2 linked regions of the Alligator mississippiensis genome follow. The main gene of each other region encodes a partner of the protein of the gene in region 2 in a complex. Links are inferred from orthologs where the notes say so. Each region holds a gene or a part of one and is shown on either strand. Other genes may lie near its edges.

Region 1 (10,122 bases), on a different chromosome or scaffold from region 2:
GCCCCAGGACGCAGAGAGTGATGCTCATGTCTTTCTTCTGCATGGCGAGCTCATGGCGCAAGGAACTAAAGAACCCATCCAGGGCAAATTTGGTGGCAGAGTAGGAAGTGGCGAAGGGGGTTGCGATTTTCCCTAGGAAGAAAAAACGAGAGAAGGGGAAACCCAGAGAAAATTGGGTCTGAGTATGAGGCCCTGCTGGGAGAGGAGCCAGGGAAGGGAGGATGATCTGAGCTACATCGACCCACTGCTCCAGCTGGACAGGCTTCCCATCTCCAGCAGAGGCAGTGTGAGACGGTTCCCTTCCAAAAAATGCACCAGGGGAAAGTACTCCTTCCTGACCCCGCATAGCCACTGAATAACCTAATATTTGGCCTCTCACTCCAGAGATGGCTGTCTTTTAGCCGTGTCCTTGACAGCCCATGTGAAGTGCTGTGGGGGTCAGCAGCCCAGACAAGCTCTAGCAAGGGGCAGTCAGACTCTGAATCGAATGACTGTGGCAACACTGGTTGCGGACCGTGAGGAAGCACAGCATGCCGGGAAGTGCAGCCCTCCTGGATCGTGCTTTGTGGAGGTCACAAACTCACCTGAGATGGAGGTCACCACAACCACGGAGCCTTTGCTCTCCATCAGGACCGGAAGCGCAGCCATCGCCAGGGCCACGTAACTAAGGAAATTCACCTGTGGAGGCAGGAGAGGGGGCATGAGAAGAATGAGAAAGTCACCGTTCCAAATCTACACCCCTCCTGAGCTTACCTGTAATGTGAATTTACAGGTAACTCTTGGCCTAAGTTTCCCCCTGAAGTTGGGGTGTCGCCCCTTGCTACCCCTCTCTATCCCCAGCCCCCAGCTTCCACTTCCACATTAATAAAAGATTCAAGCCTTCTCATTACCATGTCTCAGCAACCCCATAAGTCTGCCCCTCTGGGGTCCTAAAACCTGACCTCAGGAGGACTCCACAGAAAGGCCCAGCATGGACAGGCATGGTGCAAGAGCCAAGGCCCTGTAACACAACATCAGTCAGGTCCTACAGCAGCACATACCTTGGCAATGAGACGGACAGACAAGGGCAATGCTCTAATCAGTTCAGCTCTCTACCTGCAGGCTTTCAGACCCCTCCTCCCCCTTTCCCTCCAGTCAGGAGCAAAGCATCACAGGCTTTTTTGTTTCACCCTTTCTGGAGCCAGAGGGCACAACTGCAGCCCTGCCAGAAGCCAGCGGCTCCTGGGAGCTGCCCCCAGCTTGATCCCCGCAGGGGCCAAGCCTCTCTGCCCCTCTCCTCCACCCCCAAAGGACTCCTACCCTAAGAAAACCCACCTGCAGAAGCCAGCGGGTGTGCTCCACGTCCCCATCCCACATCTGTAAAGGGGTCGCACCAATGTGGTTCAGCACCAGGTAATCCAGGCCCCCTGCAGGCAAGGGGGCAGTGAGAGTTGAGTAAAGCACCCCCCACAAGTCAGGCAGCCAGGGGCTGCGAATTGCAGCACAGAGGCACACTTGGGGCTTCACAGGCCAGATAAAATGGCCTGGATCTGGCCCACAAGCCGTAGGTTGCCAATCCCTGCCACTGCTTTTCCCCCCTTACACATGCACAGCAAGAACGGTTGGCTCTGACCAGCTGAGCTCACAATACACAGTCTGGGTCCTGCTTCATGCTGCCAGTCCAAACTCTCCTCTTCTACGCACACATCCCTGACCAAGATGGGGAAACAGAGGCACCGTGCTCCTGCGGTGAGGAGGGCTGAATAGATACCCAGAGAGATGGAGGGGAGTGCAGAACGAACCACGATAACCTGCGGGTCAGGCAGGGCACCCAGGAAAGCTGACGCTGCACATCTGGCTCTCACCCATGCAGACCGGCTTCATGAGTGCAAGATGCAGCAATGCACAGCCCGTGGAAAAGGAGGTGCAGCAATGCACCCCCCCTCCCCGGACCCAAGCTCATGGTGAATTGAAGCAGATGCTTAAAGGGAACCGCAGAGTAAAGGCAGTTTGGTGGGGATCACTGCCGTCAGCTTCTCCGAGCACCTTTGACCCCGTGTCACCTCCTTGCCCACACAGCCGCCATGGGGACAGTGCTCTGCTCTCAGCTGGGTTGGATCTCTGGGATCTGACTCACTGAGACCCCACCCTGCTGGTTCCTCCTCCCCAGCATCAGTTGCTTTTCTTCTAACAGACCAATACCTACCCATCTTTTGCACAGCGAACTGCATCACCCGCTCGGGCTCCGCAGGGGAGATCATATCAGCCGGGATGTAGAAGACCTTCTTGGCTCCCAGCTGCAGACATTTCTCCGTCACCTGGAGAAATGACCCAGATAAACCAATTGAAGTACATTATCAGGGCAGGGGCAGGGAGCTTATTTCCTACTCACCTCCCTCTTTTCTTGCCTGGGTCAAGGATGAACAGAGACACACTTTTTCCATCCAAATTTATAATCACACAACCTACAGGGGACCAAATTCTGCTGATGCACTCAAGTCTTGTTTACAAGGGGGAAATTAACTGGAAAAGTTCTCTGTGCGGACACTCGCAATCTGCTTTCCAAGTGGATTAATCTTAAAAGAAAAAAACCTCTCTTATTCTGGAATAATCATGCCAACATGGAGAGCTATTCTGGAATAGCTGGTAAACTGGAAATCCATCCTTTTCCTTCAGCTGGAATACTTTTCAAGCGTAGACAAGCCTGAAGGAGCCAGGTCCTTTGACGCCGTCACAGCACTGTTTGACATGGAGGAATGAGTCAGGGGTTGAAATGTGATGCTAGGCCTTGGGCTTGTGACCCCCTGCCCTAGAGCAGAATTGAGCTCGGAGCTGTCGAGATGAACGTTACACCATTCACACAACCTCAGGGGCATTTGCTCTCAATGTTGCTCCACCTTGTTCTTCAGAGAAGCCTGCTATGAATGTCCAACCTGCTCCAATGACCCTGCACAGGTCAGGTTCCCTCCTAGATCATCTCTCCCACCATGCATCCAAATCTGATGAGGGAAGTGGTGCATCCTAGGAGTCAGATGGTGGTGCTGCCTGAGAGGTGTGAATGTGGCTGGGCAGCTCACCCATACCAGTTTGATGGAAAATGTCTGACCTGCCCTACATCCTCATTGTTTTTAGGTCCACGTCATCAGCCCTGCTGCCCTCTACCATGTGAAGGAGGTCTCACCTTCTGCAGCACAGCTTCCCTCCTGGCTGTCAGCACTATTTCGGCACCAAATCTGGAATAATGATAAGCCATCTGCTCTCCAATCCCAGCGCTGGCACCCGTCAGGAGCACGCGGGCGCCGGAGATGGTTTCTGCAGGGTGGAAAGAGGAGTAGCAATGACTGAGGGGTTCAGACCAGTGGCCACAAGTCTCTGTGCTTCTCCAGAGCCAACCAAGATTCAGGATTGGGCTGGAAAACCCAGTCTGGGTGGGAAATAACATGGGAACGCTGGTCCGGCAAGGGCGGGGAGACCCTTCTCCTTCCGAGTGGCACCTGGAAAGACAAAGTCTAGCTCTGACCGAAATTTTGGATCAGTCCCTGGGTCACGTGAAACCCTATCCCACTATAGCTGCCGGGCAGATTTGACTCCCCTATCTCGCTGCAGTCGAGACGCCTCCTTTTGTTGTGACCAATTTGCTGAATCATTACGCCTCCTGTTCCTAATGAGGCCATCCCTTGCAGACATGTGCAACCAGCAGCCAGAGCTCCCAAACCCTCCTACCACTGACCCGCACCACCTCTGCCTGCCTACAGTGCTGCCACCCCCCTGCCTCCTCCTCCGCCGTGTTTCCACTTGTTTTCACAGGTCTCCCAGCTCCCATCTGCCGCCGGCTACAAGGAGAAGCAGTCCCGGAGAAGCAGACGACTCTCTCCAGATGAGAACGCCGCAAACCACCATTTCAAAACTCAGCCTTTTTTTCTCCCCCGACAGCTTCTGGCTCTCGTGCTTTCCTTTCTGGGCCTACCTGGGTTAAAGATGTCTCTCCAGAACAAAGCCAGGAGCCCGGCGGCAATCCCAGCTGCCCACAGCGCCTTCCATCTTGCAGACATTTCCCCTGCGGCGCCAGACGACAATGCAAGGGCGAAGCCTCAAGGCTGAGTCCCGTCCCAGCGCTGTTCACCTCTGCCCCTGAGGACAGAGGACAAAGTCTGGGCCCACCGCTCCCTCGTGCAGGCAGCAGGGAGACCCTTCGGGTTGCTGATTTACCTGGAGGAGACAGCTCTGCCAGGGGACCAGGTTGCAAAGCAGCTGCAGTTCCACTGAGCCGGGAGATGGGAGCTGCACAACCCTGAAAACAGAGATAAAAAGGAGCAGGGCCATGATGCTCCTGACTGACTGATGATACCCAGGGCCGAGCATCCTCTAGGAGGAACAATGCCCTGCTATTGCAGAGACATGGGAACTTCATCCTGTCCCCCCCCCCGCGGTGTTTGGCCTTCTGCAGGCTCGTTAGGGCCGGATTTCGGTGGCACTTGGGTCAACCCAGTCAAAGCCCGTGTCAGGGTTACAACAGCCTCTCTCTCGCTGCCTTGGCTGCATGGTTTGGATGAGGCGCCTCGTCAAAAGATGAAGGGAAATCACAGAGCGAGGAGCAAAGTCTTGCGACGGTCGGCGCAAGCAAGCTCCCCACGACCAAAACCTCGTTACCTCGGTCTCTAGGGAGACGAGGCTGCAGCCCGTCCGTGACCCGGACCTTCCTTGCAAGCTTAGACGCAGAATTAGGATACGGCTACAATTCCCCTTCATTTTTATCACCGCTCAGTCAGGGGGGAAATAAAGGACTGGCACCAAATCTTCTTGAATGCAGAGTTTCTCTCCTTTTGCTTCAGCCCAACATCGACAGATGACTTATTTTAATAGTCTAATCGTTGTTCTCCGATTGGTTTTATTCAGATGTTTTTGTTTCACGCCAGTTTAAGGAACTGAACTGAACCAGCTCTCGCGGCCGTGGAAAGAGTCGGTCAGTTGGGATGGATGCGCCTGCGCGAGTCCCACGCACGCCTGGAGGGGACGATCCCTTCGCAGTATTTATATTTCCAAGTGGCAAGCCTGCTTGATTTGTATGACTCATCTAAGAAACAATGCAGATATCCACTAGGAGACATTTAATTACACTAATCATTACAAGCCAGAGTGATGATACAGTGTATGTATATCTAATTTTGGGTGATATATTCTGTACAATCTGCATGCCCCCCCACCCATGCTGTTTCCTCCTGGGTCCTGCCCAGCCCCACCTCGCAGAGGCTGCTGGGACAGCTCTCCCCCAGACGGGGATCACGTGACCCCACCCCAACCCGGAAGCCAGGCCGCTGCCATGCCAGCTATTGAGGCGGAAGTGCGCGCTGCGGCTGGGGCGGGGCCGCGCCTCGGCAACAATGGCGGCTTGGCCACGTGACTGCAGCCGGCGACTACAAGTCCCGGGGGGCTGTGCGGCGAGCCGGCCGGGCCGGGCGTGGAGGAGTCGGTGCAGGCGGGCGGGCGGCGGCGCGCTGCCCTTGGGCTGCGGTCATGGCGTCGCGGATCTTCCCTGTCGTCAAGTGAGTGCGGCTCGCCGACCTCCCCCGGCTGGGGGTGCACGGGGCCGGGCACACGCGTCCTCGGGGGGTCCAAGGGGGCGCCCATGGCTAGGGAACGCACGTGTCGGCGGGCACGTGACTAAGGAACACGCATGTCTGGTGGGTGCAGGTGTGATTGGGGAACACGTGTGCTTGGGGGGGTGTGCCCATGTGTATGGGGGGGGTGCAGGTGTGATTGGGGAACACGTGTGCCCTGGGGGGGTGCAGGTGTGCCCTGGGGGGTGGCACATGTGACCAGGGACACGGTGCCCTGGGCTGGGGGGGAGGGAGCGGCCCGTGTCCCCTGGAGAGCGGGGGCTACTTCAACAGCACCTGGAGCCACGCGAGACCCACCCCGATGCCGTCTCTGACGGCTTCCCTCCCAGGTTCATGGTCAAGGGCAGCCTGGCCGGCGGCGCGGTGTACGTGGCGTACGACCAGGGCCTGCTGGGAAGCGGCCAGCAAGGCGCCGAAGCCCTCCGCAAGGCGCAGGCGGCGCTGCCTCCAGCCATCAAGGAATGGACGAACTACGTCGGCTGGGAGGTGAGGACGGCGCAGGCGGCTGGGGGGGCGCCGCAGGGAGCCCCTCGCTGGAGGGGGAAGGAAGCAGAATTCGGGTTCTCCCGCGGCATCGTTTTGCCGCCGACTTCAGCGGAGTCGGGATTTCACCTTGGAAGGAAAAGGGATTGTGCGCTCGTTTCTTCTCTCCCTCCACGGGTCTTATTGGAGGTGGGGTGCGCAAGAAACAGTTTGCGGAGGACAGGAGAGGAGCGTGAACATGCCGTGTGAGACAGTTTCTAACCCCCTTGGGGGTACACGAGACACAGGCAGGGGTATGTGGGTACCCCAACACTCTCACCCTCTCTTCTTCTCTTGCCCCTTCCACCTCTCAAAACTATGGCCAAAAATTTGGTGCCCTGCACATTTGCACGGTGCTTTAAATTCCCCAGTAATAATTTGGCATGCCACGCTTTGCATAGCACTGGATTCAGCCCTTCAAACTTCGGCCAACATCGCCTCTAGCCCAGGCACATGCTTGAGTGGTGCACCCCTGGTGTAAAAGGTGTGCAACCCTGCACACACCAGATCAGACATCTATCATATCACAGCCTTATAGACACAGCCCTTCTTCCAACATATAGCACACATTAGTCTGAAAATATAAAATCCCCTGGAAAATTGAGTGTTGAGGTACTTATTAAATTTTTCAGAAGTTAGGGGGTACTTGCTACTTAAAAGGTTGAGAAACACTGATCTGGGAGGTGTTTTTATGATAAGTAATGCTCCTGACCCCTTGTTGGAAAGCCTCTAAATCAGAGGTTCCCAGCCACTGGGCCGCGGCCGTGAAAGGTTGGCTGCCAGGTCGTGGCACGAGCCCCCCTCTCGGACACCAATCTGTCCACCCCAGCAGCAGTCGCAGCTGGGTGCCAGGGCAGCCCCAAGAGGGAGACTGCTAGCTCTGGCTCCATCCCGCTCCGCAGTATGAGACAGGTTGGGAACCATTGCTCTAAAAACTACCGAATGGATCCACCCTCAAAGACCCACTCCTGCCCTGCTGCTTCCTGTTAATAACATGGTCTATAAATTGCTTGCGGTAGTTTTCCCTTGGCCTGGCTCTGACTCCCTAGATTGGAAAATCTGCTGTGCAGGGACAGTGTTTCCTGGACTAGGAAAGCCCTAGTGCCATAAATCGAGATATAACCATAATAAACCAAGTCCTGGTAAAATTTAACAGTGATATTTTTAAAAGCAGCCAAGTGGATTCAGATCTAAATCATTTTGGTGCACTTTTAAAATGCTGCCTACTGCCCCAGTCTTACAAATGGGCCAGTAAGAGAGAAGGTAAGAGCCCAGGTTTCTTTTCTGTGCCCCATGGAATTGAAGAGGGAGTTAGGTGCCCAAATACCTTTAACAATCGGGGCCTGAGGGCCTTGTTCAGCATGACCTGGGAAGCCTGGTGGTGCCTGTTCTGCTCTTTCCTCTCTTAGCATGTTGCTTAGCGGCTTTGTATGTAGCTAGCGGGCCAGACATTGAGGTTTTGCCTCTTGTTTTCTCTTTCAGCTTCCATCTACTCCAAAATTTGACTTTTCTGTCTCTGAATCCTGGAACAAAGGTAAGGCTTCTGCTTTTTTGCTGCAGAAGGGGGCTGCTGTCACTGATGTAACTTATCCAACAATCCTATTGTGAGGACTTGGCGAGAGCTAGTGCATGGAGCACTGGATTAGGATTTGGGAGACCTGGCTCTGCCACTGACCTTCAAGGTGGCCTTGGGTGGATCTCTTTACAACTCAGTTCCTCAGTTTCCTTGCCTGTAAAGTGGGGATAATATTGGCCACCTTTTATTCAAAAGTGCTTTAAAATCTACTGATAAAAATGCCATGTTGAAGGCAGGTGGCCTTTTTGCAGCTAGTAACCCAAGTACAGAAGCACTCGTAGAATTGGCAACAAAGCATGATAGTGCTGAGCTGCTCTTTAGGAGGTCATCAATTAAAAATTGAGGAGTTCTATAAAATCCTTCAAGTGCTAGTACAATCAGTGGGACTCGGCATCTAACCTGCTGTGATGGTCTGAAAATGTAAGATGGTTCCCGTTATTATTGGGACTTCTCCAAATAATACAGTGCCCTTCTCCAGCCTTTTTGATCTGATCATTGCTAACATATGTGGAAAACATCTAGAAAATGAACTCAACCTGCTTCTCATTTTCCAGAAGGAGAGACTGTGGGCAAGTTGCTTACCGTTTGCAGGCCTGAGTTGCACAGCAAGTCTGTGTCAGACCCAGGAATAAAATACAGAGTATCCAGGCCTGTGCTGTAACCATGAAGTCTCCCTTCCTTCAGACCCCTTTAATATCCTAGACAGAAAGGAGTGAAAGGGACCACAAGAGGACATCTCATCCAGCCCCCCTGCTCAATGCAGGGGCTGAATTGCCCCAAACATTTGCCAAACCTACACTTACAAGCTTCCAAGGACAAAGGTTACACCACTCCCCTGGCTAGTGGGCTAGGTAGTGGTGGTGGGGAGGACCCACTGACTACTGATGAGACCGTAACAACTGCACCAGAATCAGGAATTATTCAGGCCTAGACTTGACTGAAGATTCCCTTGATATAAGCCAAGATCTCTGGTATTATGTTTAAACGGGGAAGGGCGTGTGACCCACGATATCACATTATTGGTGGTACAGCATGCTTTGTTAATGCTTTTCTCAGGACTCCCCTCCATGTCTCTTTTTTCTTGCAGGAGTTCACACTGCCATGTCGGCTCTGTCTGTAGCTCCCACCAGGGCTCGTGAATACACCCAGAAAGGCTGGAAGTATGTGAAGGACCTTGCTAAATGAACACTCTCCAGGGCTTGCTGCGTCTCCGAGATGATGCATAGCACGCGCCTCTGAGGGGCAGCTCAGCCACGCAAGGGCTACAATAAAAGACTTTGGAACTTCCCTTTGCATTCGGGTCAGTGTCGGCACGTAGGCTCAGCCACGGGGGCTAGGAGCCACAGTGGGGACAGGGCCTGATTGGGGTGAGTTCTGCCTAGACCGGTGCATTCAACCGCTGTTATAAAGTTTACCATTATAAAGCAGGTCTTTCAGTATTGTACAAGTGTAAACCAAAACCCTACAACACCTAACCAGCCCAACAGACATACTAAAAGATATGGTCCAAGGACAAAGCCCAGTACAAATAATCAGAGTTTCAGCAACTGCAAGGAGACGAGGAACATTTTTCTATCTTAAGCTAAACCCACTGGACTGACTGCTATCTCTGACCTATCATCCCATCCTTTATAATCCCCAACACTGATTTAATGCCAATCTTGTGTCCCCTTTGAATCCACTGATTGCGTAGCCTTATTCAAATCTACCTAGATTTTGGTCTCAGTAACTTCAATGAGACCTTGACTAATACAGCCTTGTTTCCACGTAGTATATAGGCAGCGCCATCAGACCTGCCTTTAGCCAAGGAAAGAAATGCTGCCTCTTATGAAAGGTGTCTTGAATTCTTTTTGGAAACATGTGAAGGGTGATACAGGAAATGATTTGAAGCAGGAAAGGTTAATCACTTTGCTGATGGAGACCAGCTTCTGAGATAGAAGGTATATCTACAATTCAGGCACTGTGGCTTGCAGAGACCTACTTAAGCTAGTTTTAAAACTAACTAGCTTGGGTACCAGTGGCTGGCTAGCTGTAAAAGCTAGAGTCTGGAGTAATTATTCTTGGAGCATTTACCTATCTTGGGTGGGTGTTGCGGCCTGCCTTCCATGTGGCTGCAGCTATGCTGACAAAAGTACCCCAACTCGGGAGTTTAATGCCAGCACCTGTATCTCTATACAAGCTGCAGGGTGAACATCAATTTTGTCCACACCTGGGCAGAAAGCCGAGCTGCAAAGAGCTGAAGCAAAAGTCACACAGCAGATCTGGCAGTGGGAGGACTAACCTTACACGGAAGCATTTGTGGCTCCTATTGTGCTCTACTATGCGGAGGGCAGAACCCAGGAATCTTGGATCCCAAGAGCTGGTTTTTCAGCAGAAGTTGCTGGGGCCAAGTCCAGTCCCTTCTTTTACGTGCCTGTCATGAGCTGA
Region 2 (11,063 bases):
GGGGTCCCTTGGGAAACAGCAGGTTTCCTCTTGCAGGTGGGCAGCATTCTAACCTGTAAGGGGTCCTGCCTGGGGCTGCCGGGAATGAGATGCAGGGGCACTGCATGCACGTGCACAGCTGAGCGCATGCATGTGGCCAGGAATACAGCAGTGCAGCATGGAGAGCAGCTCCTTGAAGGTAAGTCTTTGGAGGGGAAGGGGCAATGGTGGGGGGCAGACCACAGCCTCTGTGGTGAGGGAGGGAGTAGGGCAGGGGATGAGGGCACTACCCAGCCAGGACAGTACATGCGACCCGGAGCTGGAACAGGGAGCAGAACCGGGCCACAGGCAGCTCTTCCAGGGGGCAGCTTCCCCCTGCTATGTGCACCCCCAGGTGGAGGCATGGGGGAGAGGGGCATGTGCCGCCTGAGATTTCTGCGCAGGGTGGAAGCAGGCTGTCCACTGTAGGGTCAGGGCTCTCCACTCTGCTGCCTTTCCCTCAGGAGCTCTGCACTGGCCACGTGCACCCTGCCAGCCCAGCAGCAGCCCCCGGCTGCCAGGCAAGCAGCGGCACACGGGCAATGTGGAGTTCCCAGTACAAAGGCAGCAAGGCAGAGAGTCCCAAGCCCACAGCAGGCAGCCTGCCTCTGCCCTGCTTAAAAGCATCCCATACTTAAAAATGGTGGTAGTGACAACTGAACTTCAGCTCATTCAATGAGATTAAGTTCAAGTGCCACCCCCACCACACACACATAATTTTAAAGTGCCAGAACGCTGATGCATGCAATGCAGCAGGCTGCTGGAGCACGCAAAAAAAAAAAAAAAGCTTATGCCAATACTTTAAAATGCCCCGAGTTATTACTAAATATCAGTTATCAGATCAGCATCAGCCAATATGTTTGCTTAATCATTGGCTATCAGTATCAGCCAAGAAAATCTCTATCAGTGCACCCCTACTTTAAATATAATTATATCCTCTTAAATACAGTTCATTTAGCAACAAAACAGAGCTCCAACCCCTGCTGTACATTTCTGAAGAAATATGACCACCTCGTCTAAATGGATGGCTTTTGTTTTTAAAACTGAAAATGTACAAGAAAGCTAATACAAGTTTGCCCAAGCTTGCAAACTATTCAGAAGTATATTGCTTCCCCCACACAAGGAGGAGCCAAATATAGAACCAACTCACATGCACCTCAAGATTAGGCCTCTGCGATTCCTTTCAAGTTCTATGCTCCAATCACCCACCCCTTCATATTTCACAGTTTCCTAAGTACAAGGCTCTCTTTATTCAACACACCAAATTTAGTTTGTTCTTTAACTGCATATAATGATAATGATGGGCAACGCCAACAAGAACTTCCGGGTTTACAAAAGCACTTTAATGCTATGGTAGACAAAGTTCTTTGAGTAAATGTGATATCTTTTATTAGACCAACTAAATAGCTGGAAAAATTGTTCCTTGCAATTTTTTGGGTACAAACACCCTTCTTCAGGCAGATGGAGAGTCTATGGTGAAACATATCACTACAAAGGCCTAGAAGAGGTAGGGGGATAACTTCAAAGAAAACCTAGTCAATGCATTTCTGTGGCGTGCTCTTTTCATAACGACATTATACAACAAAAATGACATCCTTTTCACAAAATTAGATTTTTTGGACTGAAGAAGAGGACTAAGGTCCTACTCTATAGTCTACGGGGGTCAATGGAAATGTCTCCTATGGACTTCAAAGGACACTGACTACACCCTGGCAGCTGATCCAGTGTGCAAAATCAAGCACTTCACCTCATCGTGTCACAATTTCTCTTTCTGTTAAATTTAACAGACTACTTCATAACAGGAGCATTTGTGAAATTTAATATTTGTAATGCATTCAGTGCAATATAATATAGTTGCTACATTCTACAGCTTCAAATCTTACCTCAAGGCCCATACCTGCCATAGTGTCTAACCTTTAACCTCATTTATTTTGTATGTTTTTAAGAAAATACTTAAAATACTAGTTGTGAACTAAAAACCCAAGTCTATAACAATCACCTGAAATTAACACTTTATTGTCAAGGTCCTTGGAAGAGAAAAAAATAAATAAATTAAAAGTTATAATACCATAAAACCTGTTAAAACATAAAACATTCTTAGAATGTGTTCACTTTCTAAGAAGAGATTCATCACCATGAAACAGTAACACACAAATGGCCAGCACACTTTGTCCCTCAAGGCTTGCCTAACCTCTCTCCCAAGTATACTATCTGGTCCAATAAAAGATTCCGAAACGTTCCAAACCTACTATATAGTAATCTATAAAATGCACCCTATTTTTCTCTCTCTCTTTCCCCTACCCGCTCTTCTGTCCCCAGGAAGTACACACATACCTGCAGCAGCTCCATGCAAGCCATGATCACCAGATGCTGATCGCTGGTGAGAGGATGGTTTTGCACCGGGTGAAGATGTCTCCTTCATACGATCGATGACAGAGTCAGAGATCTGAAAACAAAAAACTCAGTTACATAAAGCAAGCTGCAAAAAAAGAAGTGAGCCAGCATAAAAATCACAGAATAAAAAGCAATATCACCTAATTCTATCTCTTTGGTCAAGTTTTAACAGGTTTTACTTCCCTACCTTTTCTCCCCAGGCAAAACCAGTTCCTTCTGGTTAGAGTGAATTAGGTTAATTTGCAGTTTAGTGTATATCATGGACAAAAAGCTGGAGTGAATTGTTCAGGAGAATTTTAAAAAAATCTAGGGACAAAGGAAATATAAACAACAAGTACTATGCCTTTTACATGTTGCTCATATGCTTTCTTCCCATCCTTGTCTCAGTCATTTGGATCATAATCAAGTAGAACACTTTGCAGGAGCACTGGGTATAGCCAAGACAGCCTTGGCCCTGACTGATTATGGCAATACAAGTGACAATAGTAGTCAACACATGCTCTAACCTCAGCATTGCACAGAATTCTCACAAATGTTGGTAGCTTCAGAAATATTTGACCAAAGTTGGAGAGGAAAGTATGCCAGGCTTCAGGCATAAATGAGCCCACCAAAAATACAATCCATATTATCCCCGTATTAATCATCATGTTTTTATTTCAGCATCTTGCTGTACCTCACTCTCACTCTCTTTTTAAGAAAAGCAAAATAAAACAAATAAGATTCCCTACTTTATCTGTTGGCCTCATTCTCAAATGGAAAAAAAATAACAACTGACTTGACACAGCTTCAACCTAATAAAGCAACAATACATTAGGAAGGTAGATCTAAAGAGGCTTTATTTGTCCAAATTCTTTTTGGGTGACACTGCTAAAACATTGAACAAATGTATACATGTTACATATATATGTTCAACATGTTACTTGTTTGTTCTGTACTTACCAGCATGGTATTTGTCTCAGGCCTTCCAACCTTTTAGTAAATAGTTCCAGCTTTCATGGTGCTGTCTGTCTATAAACTTATTAGGGGGGAACAGTGGGAAATGGGAGAGACCTTGTTCCCCCGATTGCCTCCCGGAGTAACAAGGAGTAACAGCCATAAGTTGTTAGAGAGTAGGTTTAGACTAGACAACAGGAGGCACTACTTCACTGTCAGGGCGGCTAGGATCTGGAACCAACTTCCAAGGGAAGTGGTGCTGGCTCCTACCTTGAGGGTCTTTAAGAGAAGGCTTGATGATTACCTAACTGGGGTCATTTGAACCCAGTTTTCTCTCCTGCTCAGGGCAGGGGGTCGGACTAGAAGATATGCAAGGTCCCTTCCGACCCTACTTCTATGAATCTATGACCCTGCATGCATGTAGTTAAGCACCTCATACAGGGTGCACATGGGTTTAAGGAAACCTCCCTTAAACTTCACATTATGTATACATGTCTGTGTGCACGTCTGAATACACACACATCATATTATATGTGTGTCTACACACATAATGTGCAGTTTAAAAACTATTCCACCTACTTTATACATTAGAGGTCCACTGATACACCAGTACCACATCAGATCGGCACTGATAAAAGGAAAACTGACATTATCGGCAATCGGCTTTTGTGGCTGATACGGCCGATAACGTTGCCGACGAACGCCGCGTGCGTGCGCGCAGCCGCAGTGCAAGCACGCAGGCAGCCAGGAGCACAGCCCGGCAGTGTGAAAAGCAGCATCTGGCTGGTAAGTCTGTTGCGGCGGCAGACTGAGGCGCCTGCAGTGAGGGAGGAGCGGGTCTGCTGCCGCGGCTGGGGTAGGCACTGCACCGGAGCATGAGACGGAGCCGTGAGGGGGGCTCCCACTGCTACACACATGCCAGGCAACATGGAGGTCATACGCCCCCCACATCTGTGCGCGTGGGGAGGGCAGGCTGCCACTGCGGGCTGTGGATGGGGGCTCTTCCCAGTGCGGGGAGGCTAGGCTGCGCTGGGGGCAGGAGGCAGCAGCGCTGGGAGGGACGTGGGGGCTAGAGCCACCCCAAAATCCACTATAGCCCCCCTCCCTGTGCTGCTGATGCCCACCCCAAGCAGAGCCGGGCTCAACCCAGCTCAGTCAAGGCATGCACGCAAGAGGGCAGAGAAAGCGCTTCAAGGACATCCACATCATACCATCCCCCAGCACCGTCCCAAATGGAGGAAGAGCTGCTGCAACAACCACTACGCTTTGAACCTCACCACGGCAACCAGAGGTGGAAAACGGGAAGGTGTCGCGGACTGAACCACGAACCCGCCACGTGCACGTGTCTGTATATGCACACGTGTGTCTACATGCCTATGCGCGTGCACGCTGCGCACCCTTCAAACACATGGATCTGAAGGGGGTGTGTATACACACACACACACACACACATGCATGTGCCCGTGTGTGCGTTTGCGTGGACACACCATGAGCAGGATGGTTGTGGTTGCTCTCTCCTGCCGTGTCCAGGGCGGACTGGTGGGGGGGGGGAGGGGGTAACTCGATAGACAGATACATAGATACACACACGCCCTAGAGAGGACATTAGAGAAACACGTGCGTGCAACGTCTGTGTGAGCACGCACACGTGAGCTCACCCGCACGCCCTTCACCACCGTGACGTGATCATTCTCGTCCACCTCGAAGCTGACGCGCCGCCCGGTGCTGCCCCCGCCGCCCATGGCTCCCCGGCCCGCACAGGCCCAAGGAGACTCGGCCCGGCCCGGCTCGGCTGGCCCCGCCCCGCAGCAACGCCGCGCGCCATTGGTCCGCCGCGCCCCGCGCCCCGCCCCCCGCGCCTGCAAGCCCGCTGCCCATTGGCTCCCGCGCGGTGCCCATGGAAACCGCCAACGAAAAGAAAAACTTTTTTTTTTTTTGGTGGGGGGGGCCGAAAAGTTCTTCCCGGCGCCGCGGGGCACGCTGGGTAGCGCAGTTCTCCACAGGCCCCGATTAGGCGCGAGGCATGATGGGAAGGCCGGAGGGCCCGCCCTCCTCAGGGGGCCGCGGTGCATTGTGGGATAGCAACCCTCTTGACTGTGGCTGCATCCCCTCAGCAGTGGGGGGGTCCTTCCCCAGCATAGGGGACCGCCATGTCCCTGTCTGCACCCCCTCAGCAGTGGGGGGTCTCTCCCCACCATAGGGGACCCCCATGTCCCTGGTTGCACCCCTTCAGCAGTGGGGGGTCCCTCCCCACCATAGGGGACCCCCATGTCCCTGGTTGCACCCCTTCAGCAGTGGGGGGGGTCTCTCCCCAGCATAGGGGACCCCCATGTCCCTGTCTGCACCCCCTCAGCAGTGTGGGGGGGTCTCTCCCCAGTATAGGGGACCCCCATGTCCCTGGCTGCATCCCCTCAGCAGTGGGGGGGGTCTCTCCCCAGCATAGGGGACCCCCATGTCCCTGGCTGCATCCCCTCAGCAGTGGGGGGTCCCTCCCCACCATAGGGGACCCCCATGTCCCTGGCTGCATCCCCTCAGCAGTGGGGGGGGTCTCTCCCCAGCATAGAGGACCCCCATGTCCCTGTCTGCACCCCCTCAGCAGTGGGGGGTCTCCCCCCAGCATAGGGGACCCCCATGTCCCTGGCTGCACCCCCTCAGCAGTGGGGGGGGTCTCTCCCCACCATAGGGGACCCCCATGTCCCTGGCTGCACCCCCTCAGCAGTGGGGGGGTTTCCCCCCAGCATAGGGGACCCCCATGTCCCTGGCTGCATCCCCTCAGCAGTGGGGGGGGTCTCTCCCCAGCATAGAGGACCCCCATGTCCCTGTCTGCACCCCCTCAGCAGTGGGGGGTCTCCCCCCAGCATAGGGGACCCCCATGTCCCTGGCTGCATCCCCTCAGCAGTGGGGGGGGTCTCTCCCCAGCATAGGGGACCCCCATGTCCCTGGCTGCACCCCCTCAGCAGTGGGGGGGGTCTCTCCCCACCATAGGGGACCCCCATGTCCCTGGCTGCACCCCCTCAGCAGTGGGGGGGTCTCTCCCCACCATAGGGGACCCCCATGTCCCTGGCTGCACCCCCTCAGCAGTGGGGGGGTTTCCCCCCAGCATAGGGGACCCCCATGTCCCTGGCTGCATCCCCTCAGCAGTGGGGGGGGTCTCTCCCCAGCATAGAGGACCCCCATGTCCCTGTCTGCACCCCCTCAGCAGTGGGGGGTCTCCCCCCAGCATAGGGGACCCCCATGTCCCTGGCTGCATCCCCTCAGCAGTGGGGGGGGTCTCTCCCCAGCATAGGGGACCCCCATGTCCCTGGCTGCATCCCCTCAGCAGTGGGGGGGGGTCTCTCCCCAGCATAGAGGACCCCCATGTCCCTGTCTGCACCCCCTCAGCAGTGGGGGGTCTCCCCCCAGCATAGGGGACCCCCATGTCCCTGGCTGCATCCCCTCAGCAGTGGGGGGGGTCTCTCCCCAGCATAGGGGACCCCCATGTCCCTGGCTGCACCCCCTCAGCAGTGGGGGGGGGTCTCTCCCCACCATAGGGGACCCCCATGTCCCTGGCTGCATCCCCTCAGCAGTGGGGGGTCCCTCCCCACCATAGGGGACCCCCATGTCCCTGGCTGCATCCCCTCAGCAGTGGGGGGGGTCTCTCCCCAGCATAGAGGACCCCCATGTCCCTGTCTGCACCCCCTCAGCAGTGGGGGGTCTCCCCCCAGCATAGGGGACCCCCATGTCCCTGGCTGCATCCCCTCAGCAGTGGGGGGGGGTCTCCCCCCAGCATAGGGGACCCCCATGTCCCTGGCTGCACCCCCTCAGCAGTGGGGGGGGGGTCTCTCCCCACCATAGGGGACCCCCATGTCCCTGGCTGCACCCCCTCAGCAGTGGGGGGGTCTCCCCCCAGCATAGGGGACCCCCATGTCCCTGGCTGCATCCCCTCAGCAGTGGGGGGGGTCTCTCCCCAGCATAGAGGACCCCCATGTCCCTGTCTGCACCCCCTCAGCAGTGGGGGGTCTCCCCCCAGCATAGGGGACCCCCATGTCCCTGGCTGCATCCCCTCAGCAGTGGGGGGGGTCTCTCCCCAGCATAGGGGACCCCCATGTCCCTGGCTGCACCCCCTCAGCAGTGGGGGGGGTCTCTCCCCACCATAGGGGACCCCCATGTCCCTGGCTGCATCCCCTCAGCAGTGGGGGGTCCCTCCCCACCATAGGGGACCCCCATGTCCCTGGCTGCATCCCCTCAGCAGTGGGGGGTCCCTCCCCACCATAGGGGACCCCCATGTCCCTGGCTGCATCCCCTCAGCAGTGGGGGGGGTCTCTCCCCAGCATAGAGGACCCCCATGTCCCTGTCTGCACCCCCTCAGCAGTGGGGGGTCTCCCCCCAGCATAGGGGACCCCCATGTCCCTGGCTGCATCCCCTCAGCAGTGGGGGGGGTCTCTCCCCAGCATAGGGGACCCCCATGTCCCTGGCTGCACCCCCTCAGCAGTGGGGGGGGGTCTCTCCCCACCATAGGGGACCCCCATGTCCCTGGCTGCACCCCCTCAGCAGTGGGGGGGGGTCTCTCCCCACCATAGGGGACCCCATGTCCCTGGCTGCACCCCCTCAGCAGTGGGGGGGTCTCCCCCCAGCATAGGGGACCCCCATGTCCCTGGCTGCATCCCCTCAGCAGTGGGGGGGGTCTCTCCCCAGCATAGAGGACCCCCATGTCCCTGTCTGCACCCCCTCAGCAGTGGGGGGTCTCCCCCCAGCATAGGGGACCCCCATGTCCCTGGCTGCATCCCCTCAGCAGTGGGGGGGGTCTCTCCCCAGCATAGGGGACCCCCATGTCCCTGGCTGCACCCCCTCAGCAGTGGGGGGGGGTCTCTCCCCACCATAGGGGACCCCCATGTCCCTGGCTGCACCCCCTCAGCAGTGGGGGGGGGTTTCTCCCCAGCATAGGGGACCCCCATGTCCCTGGCAGTTGAGGTATTCCTCACAAGACCCTCCTTGGTCATCTCTAGTGGTGATTGCCACATTTTTATTCCTGTGAAGTGTTTCATCCAGGGGACGCATCGTAGAGAAGACTCTTTTCCATGATTTTTGTCCGCTGGCAGCCACGATTTGTCTGTGTAATGGGGGCCTCTTGTTTTCGATCGGATCAATGCAATGTTTTTTGGTTGCTACTGCTCTCCTGATGTTAGGAAGCGGCAATTCTGGTAAGTAGAGACTACTGACATTTGTGCGTTTAAGGCATTTGGTAAGAAACCTGCAACTTTTGTATCCGGGATGATGCCATTTTTACTTCTCTGGTCACATGCCACTTCTGGAGCAACACCAGATCCTACCCGTGGTACAAACCCCCTGGGTTCACACACTGCATTGTCTTGTACCATGTCTTTTCTTTTCGCTTTCATAGTTCATTTCATTGGTTCAACCATTTACATGCAGCTGTTATAACATACTGGGATTCTCCCTCTGGCAGGTTCAGTTTCCTGCCTGCTATCTAGTGATCAAGTGGGTTGCGGGCCCCTGCCCTTTAGACTAATAGGCAGAAAACAATCGTTTACAATCTCTTTTCAGTCCACACCATCACCGTCCACAGGACCTGGCTCTAGAGCAGTGATTCTGAACCCCGTCTCAACCCTGGGGTGCCTTGAGATCCTTTCAAGGGTAGCACACGGTGTTTACGCTGTTAGGTGTGCAATCACCATTCACAAGATAAACCAAGAGATTTCATATAGCAGTCTGCAGTGTGAAAAACTTTATGACTTGCTGTGGGCTTTCTGAGTTCTTTGCAACAGCAAAAACTGCTCTATTGTATTTTTCCTATAGTTAAGGGTGAAAACTAAGAGGTGACATTTTCTAAGGGGTGCTTTGAGTTTTTCCAGGGGTGCCACAAGTATAAAATGGTTGAGAGCCCCTATGTAGCAGGTTGTCAATTTGCATAATACTGTCTTTATTTTCCCTGGGCAAACTTGCCCCACAGGACGTAACATAAACCATAAATCATCAAACACCAAGTACAAAACAATAAAGTTAACCAAACCCTGTGTTCTTTTCCCAGACCCTGAGAGAGGACCCTGGCTCAATGCTGATGCCACCAACATTGCAGCCTTCCCTCTCTCCCAGCTCCCTTCCCTGGGAGCTTTTAACTTTCCCTGCGCCAAGTAATCATCCTCATCAGCTGGCCCAGTCCTCCTAGGTACACATGTAATCTCTTTCTCACCACCTGCCGCTGTGACATGCACCTTGTTATGTCGTACGCTAGGGCAGGAGTACTCAACCCCTAGCATTTGGGCTAGAGCTGGCCTGCAGAACCATGCCATCTGGCCTGCTGGGGTCCCCATGGCCCTGAAAATTTGACTCTGGGGGGAGTGGTGGCACCAATTGCTGTTTTCCTGCTGCCAAATTTCCAGACTTATGGGGAGCCCCCAGCCAGATAGCATGCTGGATTGGCATGTGGGGCTCAATCCAGGCACACAGGGGCCAGCTGAAGTTATTGTAAGGCCAGGGAGGTGGTGTGGGACTGAGGGAAGCAGTGTGGGGCCCTGATCTGGCAGCATGGAGCCAAGGTAGGTGGCACTGGAACTCAGTCTGGGATTGCAGGGCCCCAATGCAAGGGAGGCAACACGGGGCCTGATCCTGGTGTGTAGGGTCCAATGCAGCATGCAGACCAGCACTGCGCTACGCTTCCGGCCCACGGCTCCTAAAGGTTGAGTGCCACTGCTCTAGAGGCATATTTGTCCTTGGATATTGAGGCTGATACAACCCCCCAAGGTAGATAGGTTGCTCCAGAATAAAACAAGTGCTGTGAGTTGGTTCCTAATGGGTAGAAAGTGTGGGTTTGAGAGCAGAGATAGAGATTGCAGACAGAGACTGATGGAGTTCAGTTTCAGGAACAACCTCCAATTCCATTCTATGTTATGATGAATGCTGGCAATATTAGTCCATCATGTATCATTCACCCCTCCAAGAATTTCTTCAGGCTAGGCAAGAAGCAAGCTATTCTGTACATAAACCTTCTCTCTATGATATTTTGCTCTTTTTATTTCCTCTTCCCCTCATTTATCTGGTTTGTTTGTGCCCTCCCTGGCAATGTTCCCTCTAAGGTGTAGCGATCCATGAGCACCCCAATTCAGTCCTTGAGCACACTTCTTCGGTCTGTGCTCTCTGCCTGCTCCCTACTGCAGCCTTTGAACGTGGCACAGCACCAAGTGCATACCGCCACTGGGCGGGCCTAGCAGCGAGGCACATAGCATCACTTTCAAAGGCTGCAATGAGGTGCAGAGGCAGGGAGCCTGTAGAGCACAGATCCTGCCCACCCTTGCCCCACGCAAAGATCAGGGGCCAGGCCACATGCCCTCACTTGGCTGCCCGTGCCATGCATCTGGAGGGGCTGCCGGGGTCCGATTGCCCCACGACCCGGCCCAGACAGGCAGGGTCATGGGGCAATCAGAGCCCAGTGGCTCGTCTAGGGGTATGGCACGAGGGAGCTGGGGTGGGGCAGGGATGGGAATGTGTTCCCTCTCCCCCACGGTGCATGCAGTGGCGGGATCCACAGCCGCCCGCCCACACCGCTAGATGAACCGCCGAGCTCCAATTGCCCCAGCCCAGCCAGGGCCCCATTCACGGTGAACGAGCCCCCAGCTGGGCCAGGCTGGGTCGTGGGACAATCCCCACAGTGCAGGAGAGAGCAGGGCAGTGCTCTGCCCCTACTGCACTCCCTCCTGCACTGTGGAGGTCTCAATCTGTCC

Evidence for each region.
Region 1: CHCHD3 (region 2) and MICOS13 share a complex: the UniProt entries of both Homo sapiens proteins name them as parts of the mitochondrial contact site and cristae organizing system (MICOS) complex. The link is inferred for Alligator mississippiensis from reciprocal best matches to the Homo sapiens genes CHCHD3 and MICOS13.

The regions. Positions count from the first base shown.
Region 1 is NC_081839.1:4,004,507-4,014,628, forward strand, and holds MICOS13 (MICOS complex subunit MIC13), read left to right. Parts: upstream 1-5,420; 5' UTR 5,421-5,493; coding exon 5,494-5,522; intron 5,523-5,926; coding exon 5,927-6,083; intron 6,084-7,601; coding exon 7,602-7,653; intron 7,654-8,782; coding exon 8,783-8,880; 3' UTR 8,881-8,982; downstream 8,983-10,122. Other genes in the region: HSD11B1L (hydroxysteroid 11-beta-dehydrogenase 1-like protein), read right to left, coding at 1-132, 585-678, 1,315-1,406, 2,186-2,297, 3,161-3,291, 3,947-4,031. UniProt on the Homo sapiens protein: Component of the MICOS complex, a large protein complex of the mitochondrial inner membrane that plays crucial roles in the maintenance of crista junctions, inner membrane architecture, and formation of contact sites to the outer membrane.
Region 2 is NC_081827.1:7,415,727-7,426,789, reverse strand, and holds the start of CHCHD3 (MICOS complex subunit MIC19), read right to left. Parts: upstream 5,133-11,063; 5' UTR 5,088-5,132; coding exon 4,992-5,087; intron 2,465-4,991; coding exon 2,353-2,464; intron 1-2,352. UniProt on the Homo sapiens protein: Component of the MICOS complex, a large protein complex of the mitochondrial inner membrane that plays crucial roles in the maintenance of crista junctions, inner membrane architecture, and formation of contact sites to the outer membrane.